3 linked regions of the Rhinolophus ferrumequinum genome follow. The protein of the gene in region 1 binds, or shares a complex with, the protein of each later gene. Links are inferred from orthologs where the notes say so. Each region holds a gene or a part of one and is shown in the gene's direction. Other genes may lie near its edges. The genes, in order: FLCN, LAMTOR2 and LAMTOR5.

What was found.
Region 2: FLCN (region 1) and LAMTOR2 share a complex: the UniProt entries of both Homo sapiens proteins name them as parts of the lysosomal folliculin complex. The link is inferred for Rhinolophus ferrumequinum from reciprocal best matches to the Homo sapiens genes FLCN and LAMTOR2.
Region 3: FLCN (region 1) and LAMTOR5 share a complex: the UniProt entries of both Homo sapiens proteins name them as parts of the lysosomal folliculin complex. The link is inferred for Rhinolophus ferrumequinum from reciprocal best matches to the Homo sapiens genes FLCN and LAMTOR5.

Annotation. Positions count from the first base shown.
Region 1 is NC_046304.1:1,500,799-1,504,544, forward strand, and holds the start of FLCN (folliculin), read left to right. Parts: upstream 1-866; 5' UTR 867-1,269; coding exon 1,270-1,383; intron 1,384-1,444; exon of another isoform or gene 1,445-2,378; intron 2,379-3,746. UniProt on the Homo sapiens protein: Multi-functional protein, involved in both the cellular response to amino acid availability and in the regulation of glycolysis.
Region 2 is NC_046305.1:672,728-676,473, forward strand, and holds the start of LAMTOR2 (ragulator complex protein LAMTOR2), read left to right. Parts: upstream 1-1,475; 5' UTR 1,476-1,586; coding exon 1,587-1,654; intron 1,655-1,948; coding exon 1,949-2,111; intron 2,112-3,675; coding exon 3,676-3,746. Other genes in the region: UBQLN4 (ubiquilin-4), read right to left, coding at 329-436. UniProt on the Homo sapiens protein: As part of the Ragulator complex it is involved in amino acid sensing and activation of mTORC1, a signaling complex promoting cell growth in response to growth factors, energy levels, and amino acids.
Region 3 is NC_046305.1:42,347,367-42,351,112, reverse strand, and holds the start of LAMTOR5 (ragulator complex protein LAMTOR5), read left to right. Parts: upstream 1-1,488; 5' UTR 1,489-1,602; coding exon 1,603-1,637; exon of another isoform or gene 1,638-1,704; intron 1,705-2,477; coding exon 2,478-2,539; intron 2,540-3,746. UniProt on the Homo sapiens protein: As part of the Ragulator complex it is involved in amino acid sensing and activation of mTORC1, a signaling complex promoting cell growth in response to growth factors, energy levels, and amino acids.

The DNA of each region.
Region 1 (3,746 bases):
GGTGGCAAGATGGACTCCATGTCACAGCAAAGAACATGATGGACACACGACTTTATCAGTGTCATCAAATAAGAGTAATAGTGGCACAAGTAGCATGTGAAACTGTTGGCTCTTCCAGTGTTATACGTCAGGGAGCTCTGTAAACAGAAATCCAAGTGAAGTCGGTAGATAGAGTAGAGCCACCCTGTGAGTGGGTCTGAGCAGGAAGTAATCCCCTGTGGAACTTTCCACCTTGGCTTGCTGGAATCCCAACAGGCTCCCCTGTGGGAGACTAGTTAGAGAAGCTGCAGGGGATTCTGATGCAGACCACTGGTTAAGAGCCATTTTAATACCTCAGTTAATTGCAGAGTATTCATACTTAACTGTTATCTTTAATCCTCTGTGGTCTTGTGAGAAGACCACAGGAAGTGGGGATTTAAATAGGTGCAGAGGGGGGGTGGGGGGGGACGCACCACAGAAGTGGGAGGACGGTTGGGACATCAGCGTCCAGGTCAGGCTCAGCCACTGTGGGAGCCGGACACGAAGAAGGACGCTGCTGCTTCTAGGTATTTGAGAACTTGCTTTGAGTATAATGTTGGATGGGTGAAGGTTTCTGCTTCTTCCTTATATTCTGGAAAGCTTGTTGGAAAGGAAGAACTGTTAGGCATACGCAAACCAGATTGTTTTTTTTCAGGAATGGGAGCATGAATAAAGAAGTGACCTCATGCTGCCCAGAATTTTGATTCCACTAACTGAGAGGTGGGGTTTGGCCCTCTGTTTCTCAGCTTTAGGGTGGTGCTCAGAGAGGTAAAGTAACGTGTTGACATCATGTGGCTGGTAAGGGCTGGAGACAGGCTTTTGTCCAACGCAGAAGGTCTGTGGGAGCAGAAGGTCTGTGGGACTCCGGAGCTAATTGTTATTTAGAGTACCCCACTGCCTTATAACCAAAAGTAGGACTTACATTGTACTTTTTTATGTTTCATATTTAACAAAAATATTTAAATATAACTATGTTTCAAGAGAGCCTTTATGAAGTACTGCTATAGAGGTGTAACTTCAGTCAAGGCTTTGTGTGCAGTGTCAGCCTGCTGTCAGCTACTGCTCAAAAGAGAAAGGCCTGCTAAGCCATGCAGAACCACTGGAACCCCCAAATCCTCTTTTGTGTTGCTCTAATTTGAGGTTGGCTGTAAGCTGCTTGAACTTTTTTTCATGCCACAAAGTGCATTGCCCTTAGAATTAGCTCTGGTTTTTTTTCTTTACCTAGAAAATGTCAGGTCTTAGAGCTGAAGTATGGCTGCCGTTGTCCTCCTTGACTCAGTTGGAAATGGCCTTGCATGCACTAGCCGAGGCAGGATGAGGGACGTGGTTCTGCTGAGGATAGAAGTTCGTATGGATGCGCTGCAGGTGGGGTGACCTGGGCCCAGGGCTGCTTTCATGTGGACGTCTTGCCCGAAGCCGTCTTTATTTCTCTTCTTTGTTTCTCCGAGGGAGACGTGGCCCCTTGTCCAGGGTGAACTCCTCTGCCTTTAGTTTGAGTCCCAATACCTGTCTTCAAGGTTCTTATTCCCTCAGTGGTTGCCTCACCGCCTCTTCCACAGTGGATTTGAAACCATTATTTTCCTTGACCTCCCTGTAAGGAGCCCCGTGGAACCTTTCTGTCAATTTGGTTTATTTGGTTCTGGTGACACGAGGCTCCTGGACTCGGGTTCCCCAGGGTTGCGTTTTTGAACCTCTCCTGCCTGTCGATACCCTTGATGAGCTCTCCACTTCTGTGGCAACAACTGTCATCTCTCTGTGGGCAGCTTCTAAATTCCCTCGTTTCTCCAACGCCTAGTGATTTGGTCCTTCCCGTGTGTTGGGAGCTGCTGTAGACAACACAAAGCCTCTCCCTTGGGGACGTTCATCCCACTGGAATCCAGCGGGGCGGGCATCGAGTGGTGGGCTGGAAGTGGGAGGTGACAGCTCTTCTGGGTGGGCTGACCGGGAGCTTCTCCTAGAAGGGGACGCGCAAGGAGACGCAGACTGGTGAGGAGGGGCGAGGCAGGAGAAGGCCGTGGGGGGTGTTCAGGGCCTTTCTCTCCAGGCCTGCCTTCTCTGATCCTGCGGTCCAGAATCTCCACGGAACTCGCAGGGCTTTCAACCCCATGTTCTCCCAGCTCTTAAACTCTGTCTTCTCTCCCACTGCCCACCTCCTGCAGAACAATCTACCCATGCCCCGGGTTTCCGTACCTGCCAGCCACCCGTCTCCCCATGTCTGATCGCTAGGCCTGACTTGCTGTCAGCACACCTGCCATTCTCTTCATATGTCTGTTCTGTGCCGGCCTCTGCCATTCCTGCTGTAACCACTTGAGTGTCAGCCCCTGCCCACATCAGCTGAGAGGTTGATTGCAAAACATCAGGTGGGTGGCACAGGGGGCAGGCAGGCTAGGCTGTGAGCAGGGCCAGCAGCAGGGAGGCTGCCCGGAGGCACATCCAGGGACACAGTGCAAATAGATTTTGAGGGTGCTGTCCGCCAGGGGACACCCCATCCCTGCTGTGCGTGTTCACACTGGCTGCTGCTTTGCCTCCTTTCTCGAGGTTCAGCGTCCCAGACAGGCACCTGTGACTGGCCGCGCCACGGCCGTGCCCGTGCTGCTTACGGGGTGAGGACAGAGGATTGTGATCTTTGGCTCCACAACGGGGGATGGGGTCCCCATAGGAGAAGAGGGTTTAGAACCTGGCCACTGTCCACTCCTCAGACATTCCGAAACTTAAATGATTCCCCATTGTTTTGAGCAAGGCTGTCCGATAGAACTTTCTGTGATGATGCACATGTTCCATGATCTGCACTGGCCTTTTAAAATGGTGACTGAGCCACGTGTGACCAGTGAGACTGAGGAAAGGGGCTTTTCATTTTACTTACATGTAAGTTGCCACATGACTCATGGTTACTGGATTGGACAACATGGGTCTAGAGAATACACGTTCCCTTTTTAGCTTGGCTTTCAGGCCCTTCTGTGTCACACGGGTCAGGCCAGCTGGGCTGCCACTGTCCTACATCTATGGCTTTGCTCCTGGGTTCTCTCATTTCCGGACCTCTCCTGCCTGTCAGCCGCGTGGACATGTTCCCACCTGGAAAGCCTTGCCCGATTTTCCCGACCAGAGGGCACTCGTGTCTGCGTCCCCATCCCCTCCCTCAGCGACGGACAAGCTGCTGACTTGCTGCCCAGGCCCAGCCCCCACGACCTCCTCCAGGACTCGGCCTCTCCCGTGATTCTGTTTTGCTCACTTTGTCTCTGGAGTAACCCGAGTTTGCTTCACTGTCTTTCGTTCTCTGTCCCCCTTGCCAGCTCTTTCTCTCCCTCACATCTAAGCTCTGGAGGGCCCCAGACCCCATCGAGGTGCTCCCATCCCCCCCAGGACTGCCCGCCCCCCTCCGCTCTGCCCCCAGATTCCATCAGCTCCTGTGGAGGCCCAGCAGGCACTGCCTCTTGCCCTGCCCCTCACTTGTTCTTCTCCTGCTGCCCACATTCCTTTAGCTTTGCTCCCGTCTTTACGCTCCCGCCCCACCCCTGAGCAGTGCTGGCTCTGCTATGGGAACAGCGTCACAGTCTGACTGTCCCTTACCACCTCCCACCGCCCACCCTAGCCCAGGCCACCGTCTCTTCTCCCGAAAGGCAGTGGGAACGCCACAGCTGGTTTCCCTGCTTCTGCCCTGGCTCCAAAGTCTCTTTCCTGCACAGCAGCCAGAATGATCCTTTTAAAATAAGATTCCAATGTATCATGTT
Region 2 (3,746 bases), on another chromosome or scaffold:
GCGCCCCGAACCCCCATAAGTAACCGGGGCGCAAGCCCAGGGTCCTTCCCCTTCCCTGCGCAAGGTGTCCCCCTCCCCTCTCTCCACCACGCCCCCAGTCCAGGCCACAAGGCAAACCCCGGCCTCCCTTCCCCAACACGCGTGCCATGCTCCTCCAACTTACCCTCGCAGGACGCCCCTGACCCGCCTCTCCTCCCTTCTCGCTCCTCCGAGTGCCGTCTGGGCCCCCGCCCTCCTCTCCCAGGCCCTTCTTTGCGCCCGGCAGTCCCGAGCCACCCCCCTCTCTTCGCGGACCCCTCCTCCGCGCTCCCCCCGACGACCGTAGTACCTCCTTGACCGAGGCTCGATCGCAGATCACAATTTCCTCCTTGTCCTTGGGGGTCTTGACGGTGACCCGAATGGGGGGCCTCGTCTCAGCCCCGCTCGGCTCCGCCATGCCGCCGCCGCCACCCGGCCGCCCGCCAGCCCGCTCCGGCTCCTCCTCCTCCCCGCCCGCCCCGCCGGCCCGGCTAGGCTCCGGCGCCTCCAACACTCCCCTCTCCTCCCCTCCCCTCCCCAAGGCTTCACCGCCCCCTCCGGACCAGCCGCAGCCACAGCGCCCCGGGCGGACTGGGGGGGCCACTGCAGCAGTGTCCGCCCAGGGCCGAGCCTGGGGTCCCGCAGCCTGGTCTGGGCCTCGCTGGGCGGCGGCCCCTGGGGCGCTCGGGACGGGGGCGGGGCGAGTCCCTCACTGCTGGGGTGAGGGGCGAGCGCCCCACGGGAGACCACAGCCCATCCGAGCGGGCCAGAGCTGAGCCGAGGTCCCCTCCGACCCAAAACAGCTCCTGCCCCCACCACGGGTCACTCCCGCTGCGGGACAAAGGACTCTGTGTCGCCGCTTTATCTCCGTCCCCTGCGATAGCTGGTCTTTTATTGAGAAGCCCAAATCCTTCTCGGGCCTGGGGCCTCTGCCGACTGGTAGGATGAATTTTCCCACTTCTGGACGTCCACCTAAAATCTCATCTCTAGAATTGATTTCATTCCCCCGAGGATCGTGGCCTGAATGAACTCTATTAGGTACTGTTCCAGCGACCTGGGTTTTGCCTGCATGGCCTTCCCGAGCCTTAGTTTCCTCAATAGTATCTATGGCTTCATCACCCAGAATTGTGCATAATGTAGAAAATTGCTTTGAAAAGCAACCAAAGGTGTGCCTAACAAACACAGGGATTTTATTTTTTTATTTTTTTAATTACTGAGTCGTGGATTGTCAAGCGGACATGACTTTTCTCTCCCCGAGGGGGTTAAATGTCCTTCCAATACCGCCAATGTCCTTTCACTCCCGCTCTTTTCCCCCACAACCGCGTGGTCTCAGTGGAAAGGCGAACTATCGTTCCCAGGATGCCTCACGAGGCCTCAAGGAACTACAATTCCCAGTGCCCTCCGCGGTAAAGCGGGGTTGAGTCAAAACTACAAAACCAGGCGGAGAAACTACAACTCCCAGGGCGTTCCGGAGCAGGTCAGCTGAACTACCGGAAAGGGCTGGCGGAGGCCCGCAGGAGGCAGTTCGGAGGTCTGGGTGCAAAAACCCAGGTTTGGGAGCTGCAGGCATGCTACGTCCCAAGGCTTTGACCCAGGTGCTGAGCCAAGCCAACACTGGAGGTGTCCAGAGCACCCTGTGAGTGCGGACCGAGGACCCGAGCGACGAGCACTGGAGTCGGGCAGCGCGCGGCTCTCCGAGGGAGGGGTGGGGAAACATCTCCGGGAAGGGAGGAGGCAGAGTGGGCAGCCGCCTTGGAGGGCCCCTCTCGAAAGGGGAAAGCGACGGCCTGGGTGCTCTGGGCACCTTCTAGGACACACTCAACCTAGACCCTTGCTTTCTAGAAGCGCCAGTGGCGGGAGCTGGGATGGGAACCCAGGACTCTTACTCCCCATCCTGAGCACGTCGCTGCCCCTTCCGGTTCCTCGCCAGGCTGCTGAATAACGAGGGATCTCTGCTGGCTTACTCTGGTTACGGGGATACTGACGCCCGGGTTACCGCCGCCATCGCCAGTAACATCTGGGCCGCCTACGACCGGAACGGGAACCAAGCGTTTAATGAAGACAATCTCAAATTCATCCTCATGGACTGCATGGTATGGAGTGGGAAGCCACTTCCTCTGTCCCCCAAAGGGATCCCCGGGGCGACCTGGACCCGGTCCCGGATGGTTGGAGGGGCAGGATCTCGGGAAGATTGCTAAGAGTTGGCCCGCAGCACCATTTATCATAGGCAGAACCCTGTGCATCACAGTGGTGAGGAAGGGGCCCTGGACCCCGGGTCTGCCTGGGGTTCTGGTCTCAGCCAGCCACTTACCGTCTGTGGAACCTTGGGTAAGTTACTTAACCTCTCTGAGCTTCCTTATCTCCTCTCTGAGGTGGAAACAATAAACCCCGGTCCCCACCTCAAGGGGCTGTGGTGAAGATCAACTAACAGAGTGGATGTAAACTGTAGAGTGAGGTACACACAAAGTGCTGTCATGCCAGAGTCACTGACTCACAGGCCTATAAGAGTCTCCAGACCCTTGTCTAATCCCTTGAGGAAGGAAAAAATATGTAAGTTAAAAAAATAGTATGTTAGATTTCTAAAAACGCTATGGAGAAAAATAAAGCAAGGAATTGAGATAAGGGTGGCATGCGCCAGGGATAATCTCACTGAACAGGTGACATTTCATCACAGATTTGAAAGAAGTTGGCAAGCCATGTGGCTGTCTGGGGCATAAACATTTCTGATGGAGAGAACAGCAAGTGCAAAGGCCCTGAGGCAGAAAGGTGCCTGGTCACAGATCGACAAGGGAGATGTGGCTGGAGTGGCATGAGAATGGGGGGAGGATGATAGATGATGCCAGACAGGCAGTACATGGTTCCTAGCACACACTGGATACCTAGTGAAAGTTTGCTGAACCGAATTGAGAAGGCCGCAAGAATGAAGGGTTTCCACTGTACTCAGCTACCTACCACTTCCTGGCCCCCATTCCAGCCAAGGATGCATTCCAGTTCAGCCGATGACTCCTGGGTGCCCAGCTCAGACCTAGTGCTATAGGGCAATAGCTTTCAAACATTTGACCACAGCCCAGCTGTAAGAAACACATTTGATGCTGGAGCCCCGTGCAAACAATCACTCGCTCAAACAAGTTCCCTGACTACATGCAATGCATTTCTCTTCATTTCTCTTCTTTTCCTTCCTTTTTTCTTTCGATGCTAATCAACCTTCTTAATTAATCTCCTAACCCGGACGTCGGGTGTGCAGTTTGAAACACATTGCCATTGGAAAAGAGAACTAGGAGTGGGGTTTCTGCTCTCAAGCCTCTTATAGTGTCTTGGAGGTGAACCCATAATAATAACATAGCCCATTAGAAGAGCCCGGAATTCCTTCCCGTGTGCTAGTACCCTCAGCAACTGGGATGAGGTAGGGGTTACAGAAAGAGAACCGAGTTTCTGGGAGATTGAGTTTTCTGGGGTGACTTGGTTCGTGGCTGTGCTGAGGCTGGAATCTGGGCACAGGACCCCATGTCCAGGGCTGTGGCCAAAGCCCCCAGCTGAAGCTCCAACCCTGCCCGGGGCGTGGAAGGAAGATACAGTCTGTCTCACGAGGAGCCCGTGGGGAAAGGGGGCTTAGGGTGCCAAGCAGGGCCTCCCATCCCACGATGTCACCCCCACCAGGAGGGCCGTGTGGCCATCACGCGAGTGGCCAACCTACTGCTGTGTATGTATGCCAAGGAGACCGTCGGCTT
Region 3 (3,746 bases), on another chromosome or scaffold:
TTTTCCGAGAATCCTTAATCACTGATCTGGCTTTGAGATCATCAGAAATAGCCTGGAGCTGCATTGGCCAATATGGTAGCCATACTGGCACACGTGGCTATTGAGCACCTGAAAGGTGGTGAGTCTGAATTGAAATGTGCTCGGTGGAAAAATATATGCTGGATTTTTAAGACACGAGACGGGAGCGAGGGTGTGGGGAGGGAGGGCGGGGTTGTAAAATATCTTAGTATTATGTTTTAAATTGATTACATGTTGAAATGATATTTTGGACATATTATTTGGATAAATAAAATATATTATTAAAATTAATTTCACCTTTTACTTTTTAGTGGGCCAGGCCACCTAGGACCACAAGGGGGCGGTACTGCAGTGCTCAGCTGCCTCCCGCAGGACTTTGGCGGGAAGCAGGCTCGCTCCCTTCATCTTCTAATACTGTTTTCTAAGCGTAGTTTTAAACTGATTTTTCTAAAATTTAAATGGTCCATATTATGTTGTCCTAAGTTAACATAACTAATTTCTCCAGGGCAGGTGTCCAAAACTTCTGAATCAAAACATTCAAGACTGGAATTTTAAGGGCTGCAAATTTCACTACCACGGGTAGGGACAGAACTATATAAGCAAAATCCACAAGCAACCCAACTCATATTAATAAAGGGCTGGCTAAATCAAGGTACAGCTGTAACTGTAACTATTTTGCAACTATTACAAAAGATGTATATGAATACTTATCGACATGCAAAGACAGTTATGCTAAATTCTGTAAAAATGGACAGCTACAGAATTGTGTCCAGTATGTATATCAACTTTGCTTAAAAAAAAATTAAACTCATACATTTGCAGACAATGGGCTGAAAGGATATTCTCCAAGGGATTAATAGTCATCTTGACGGAGGCTATGGGTGGCTTTCTTTCCTTATTTTTATAACTGGTTTCATAATTAATTTTTTAAAGTTATTTTTAAGTTGTCCTACCCAGTCTTCTTTCCCAGATTCACCTGAGCCCTCGCCAAAGGAAGAACCAATGTCTTCGTTAAAATCCCAACATTTTCCCAATACCTAACTGGGGTTTTCACCTTGTCCCATCTCGTCCTCTTTCTAGCTCCTTGGGCATGTCGTTTCCCCTCCAAGCCTGCGGACCCTTTCACCGGGCCCCTGTGTCTTTTCTCCGTCCCTGCCCCACCGCCAGGTTACGGTAAAACGAATACAAGGATCCGCCGACGTTTCGGAGTCGGTTGAGTCGGAATCCAAAGGTCACATCCCTAAAACAAAGTGGCTGGCCAGGAACCGAGGCTCTGATGACCAGCTGCAGACCTCTCTCCTGCGGGGGAAAACCTGCGCCACCTGGTTCCGGACGGAGCCCGGCGCAGGTCCCCTCACTTGTCACCAAGCGGGCAGCAGCACCCGGGCCCAGCTCGGGCGGCGGGAACCGAGGGAGCGCTCCCAGCACACAACGCGGAGGTTGCGCCGCGAAGTTTGGCCCTTCGGAGGCGCCGTCCCAGCCCGCGTCGCGCTTGTGTCATGTGATCGGGAAGTGCTGGCGGCCAGTGGCGGAGGAAGCAGCGACTACCTGCGGCGTCCGGGCCCGGGTTGGACGGCTGGCGACATGGAGGCGACCTTGGAGCAGCACTTGGAGGACACGTGAGTGACACGGCTTCTGCGGCTTGCCCTGAGGTCGCGGCGGAGAGACTTGAGCGGGACAAAGGGTGTAAGTTGCGAGTGCCAGCCGGGCGGCAAGGGGACGCCGCGCGACCCCCAGGCAACGGGGGCAGGTGGTGAACTGTGTCCCGAGGCCGCAGGGGAGCCGGTAACCCGGAATTCAAGTCCCGCCCGGACTCCGTGTGCTCCCTCCGGAGCGAGTCTCCGCGGCCAGAGCCCGAGGCTGAACCGCCCGTCACGTGGAAATTGTGTCTGGTCAGGGTTGTTGGCAGTTTCAGGAAATGGGTCCATCTGGAGGAAGGGTGTGTAGTACCGTCTGTGCGGACGAGCCTTGCAGCGTAAACATAAACACACAAGCGCTTGTGCTTCCGTGTTTAACCAGTCACTGGGTGCCCGAGGTAAAGGACATCCCTTCAGTTTTTCGGACGAGGACTCTCCACGTAAAACCCCAAATAAGGAGGCGCACAGGGAGACACCTCCTTCGCACCAGTGCCCCCCGGCAGCCCAGCTCCTCTCCGGGAGGCAGCTATTTTAAGTGAGTTAACATGCTAACGCATGTATTTTTAACAAGGGCAGCAAAATCCTAGCTAATGAAATGTTTGTGGCCACTAAAGCTCCCTGACAGTCTTTCATCGGAGAGAAACGGGTGTCATATTTAAATTAGTTCATTATAATTTTCCTCGGGGTGGGGGGTAATAATGGAGAAAGGTTGAGAAACACTGATTTAAAGCACTGAGACCACAAGGCCTGGTACTTAGAAAGCCTGTCTGTGTTATTGTAGTTATTTAAATTCATTTTCTTACATCATGTTCCTGGCATTAGAATGAAGAATCCATCCATTGTTGGAGTCCTGTGCACAGATTCACAAGGACTTAATCTGGGCTGTAAGTATCTCCACGGCAACCCTTCGGTGGGTGGCACAGCACTCGTGTTGAGTAGGAGTCTAGTGTGCTGTTCTTCTCTAGTTTTTATTTCCTGTCATCCTGCCACTTTCTAGGTACTTTTCTGAAAGTCGCGATTACTCCAAATAACGAGATTAGAAAACTGAAATGTATGAAGGTAGAACTGTGCCTTGCAGTGCTAGTACTGCACGGTGGTTTCTACGAAAATAGTGTTTCACTAATTTTACATTGGTGCTAGAAAGGACCTCAGATAATGACAGCAGTTACATGTGTTAAATGTGTGCCATATGCTCGGACTGCTAGGCTTTGTATATTGATATCTAATTTTTTAATACTCCTGCAAGATGGGTAGGGCCAGTTTTTAGTCCAACCACACATAACAATAAGTGAGTAGGCAGTAAAAACGGCTTCCGAGTTGGACCCAGCTGGGTTCAACCTCCAGTTCTTCCGTTTACTAGTAGTATGAACTTGGACCAAAAAGAGCCTTTCTAAGCCTCAGTTTCTTTACTGGGTAGTTGTTTAATAATAATAATAACTAAATTGCATTTGGTGAGTTTTTACTGTTTCAGGCACCATTCTAAATGCTTTACATGTACTAAGTCATTTCATCCTAAGGTAGATAATAAGGCAATGATTGAACTGGGATTTGAGTCTGGCTCCTAAGTCTCTTCCTCACACTACTGTAAGATTATTTAATATGTGTAAAACAGCAAAGAACCCAGACATCATGCTCAATAAATGGTAACAATTACAGATGAGGAAATAAATCCAGAAAGGTTAATAACTAAAGCATTCAGCTGGTTAATGTCAGAACTAGTAAGCCCAGGGTTCCTTATTCTTCTTTATTGCAGGACTTTTTAAAGCTCTGAATTTTTGCTGGGAGGGTGACTGAAAGAGGTAATCTGTGTAACTTAGGTTTTACACACAAATCAGGAGAAAAAAGGCAGATTTTGGGGTGAAGTGGGGGTTGCTTGCCAGGCTCACTAATGGAAAGGCTGAAATTCAAGTGAGGAAATAAACTAAATGAGTTCCTTTAAGAAACTTCCAAGGCCTGCAAGTCTGCACTGTGTCCAGTTAATGTTTTATATAATAATGAATCTGTCAACTCTGCCGTAGTGACATGTCTATTACCAGACATAGTTGCAGGCAGGTAGGCTTGTGTTGCCCTTATATGTGGAAATGTATTGTA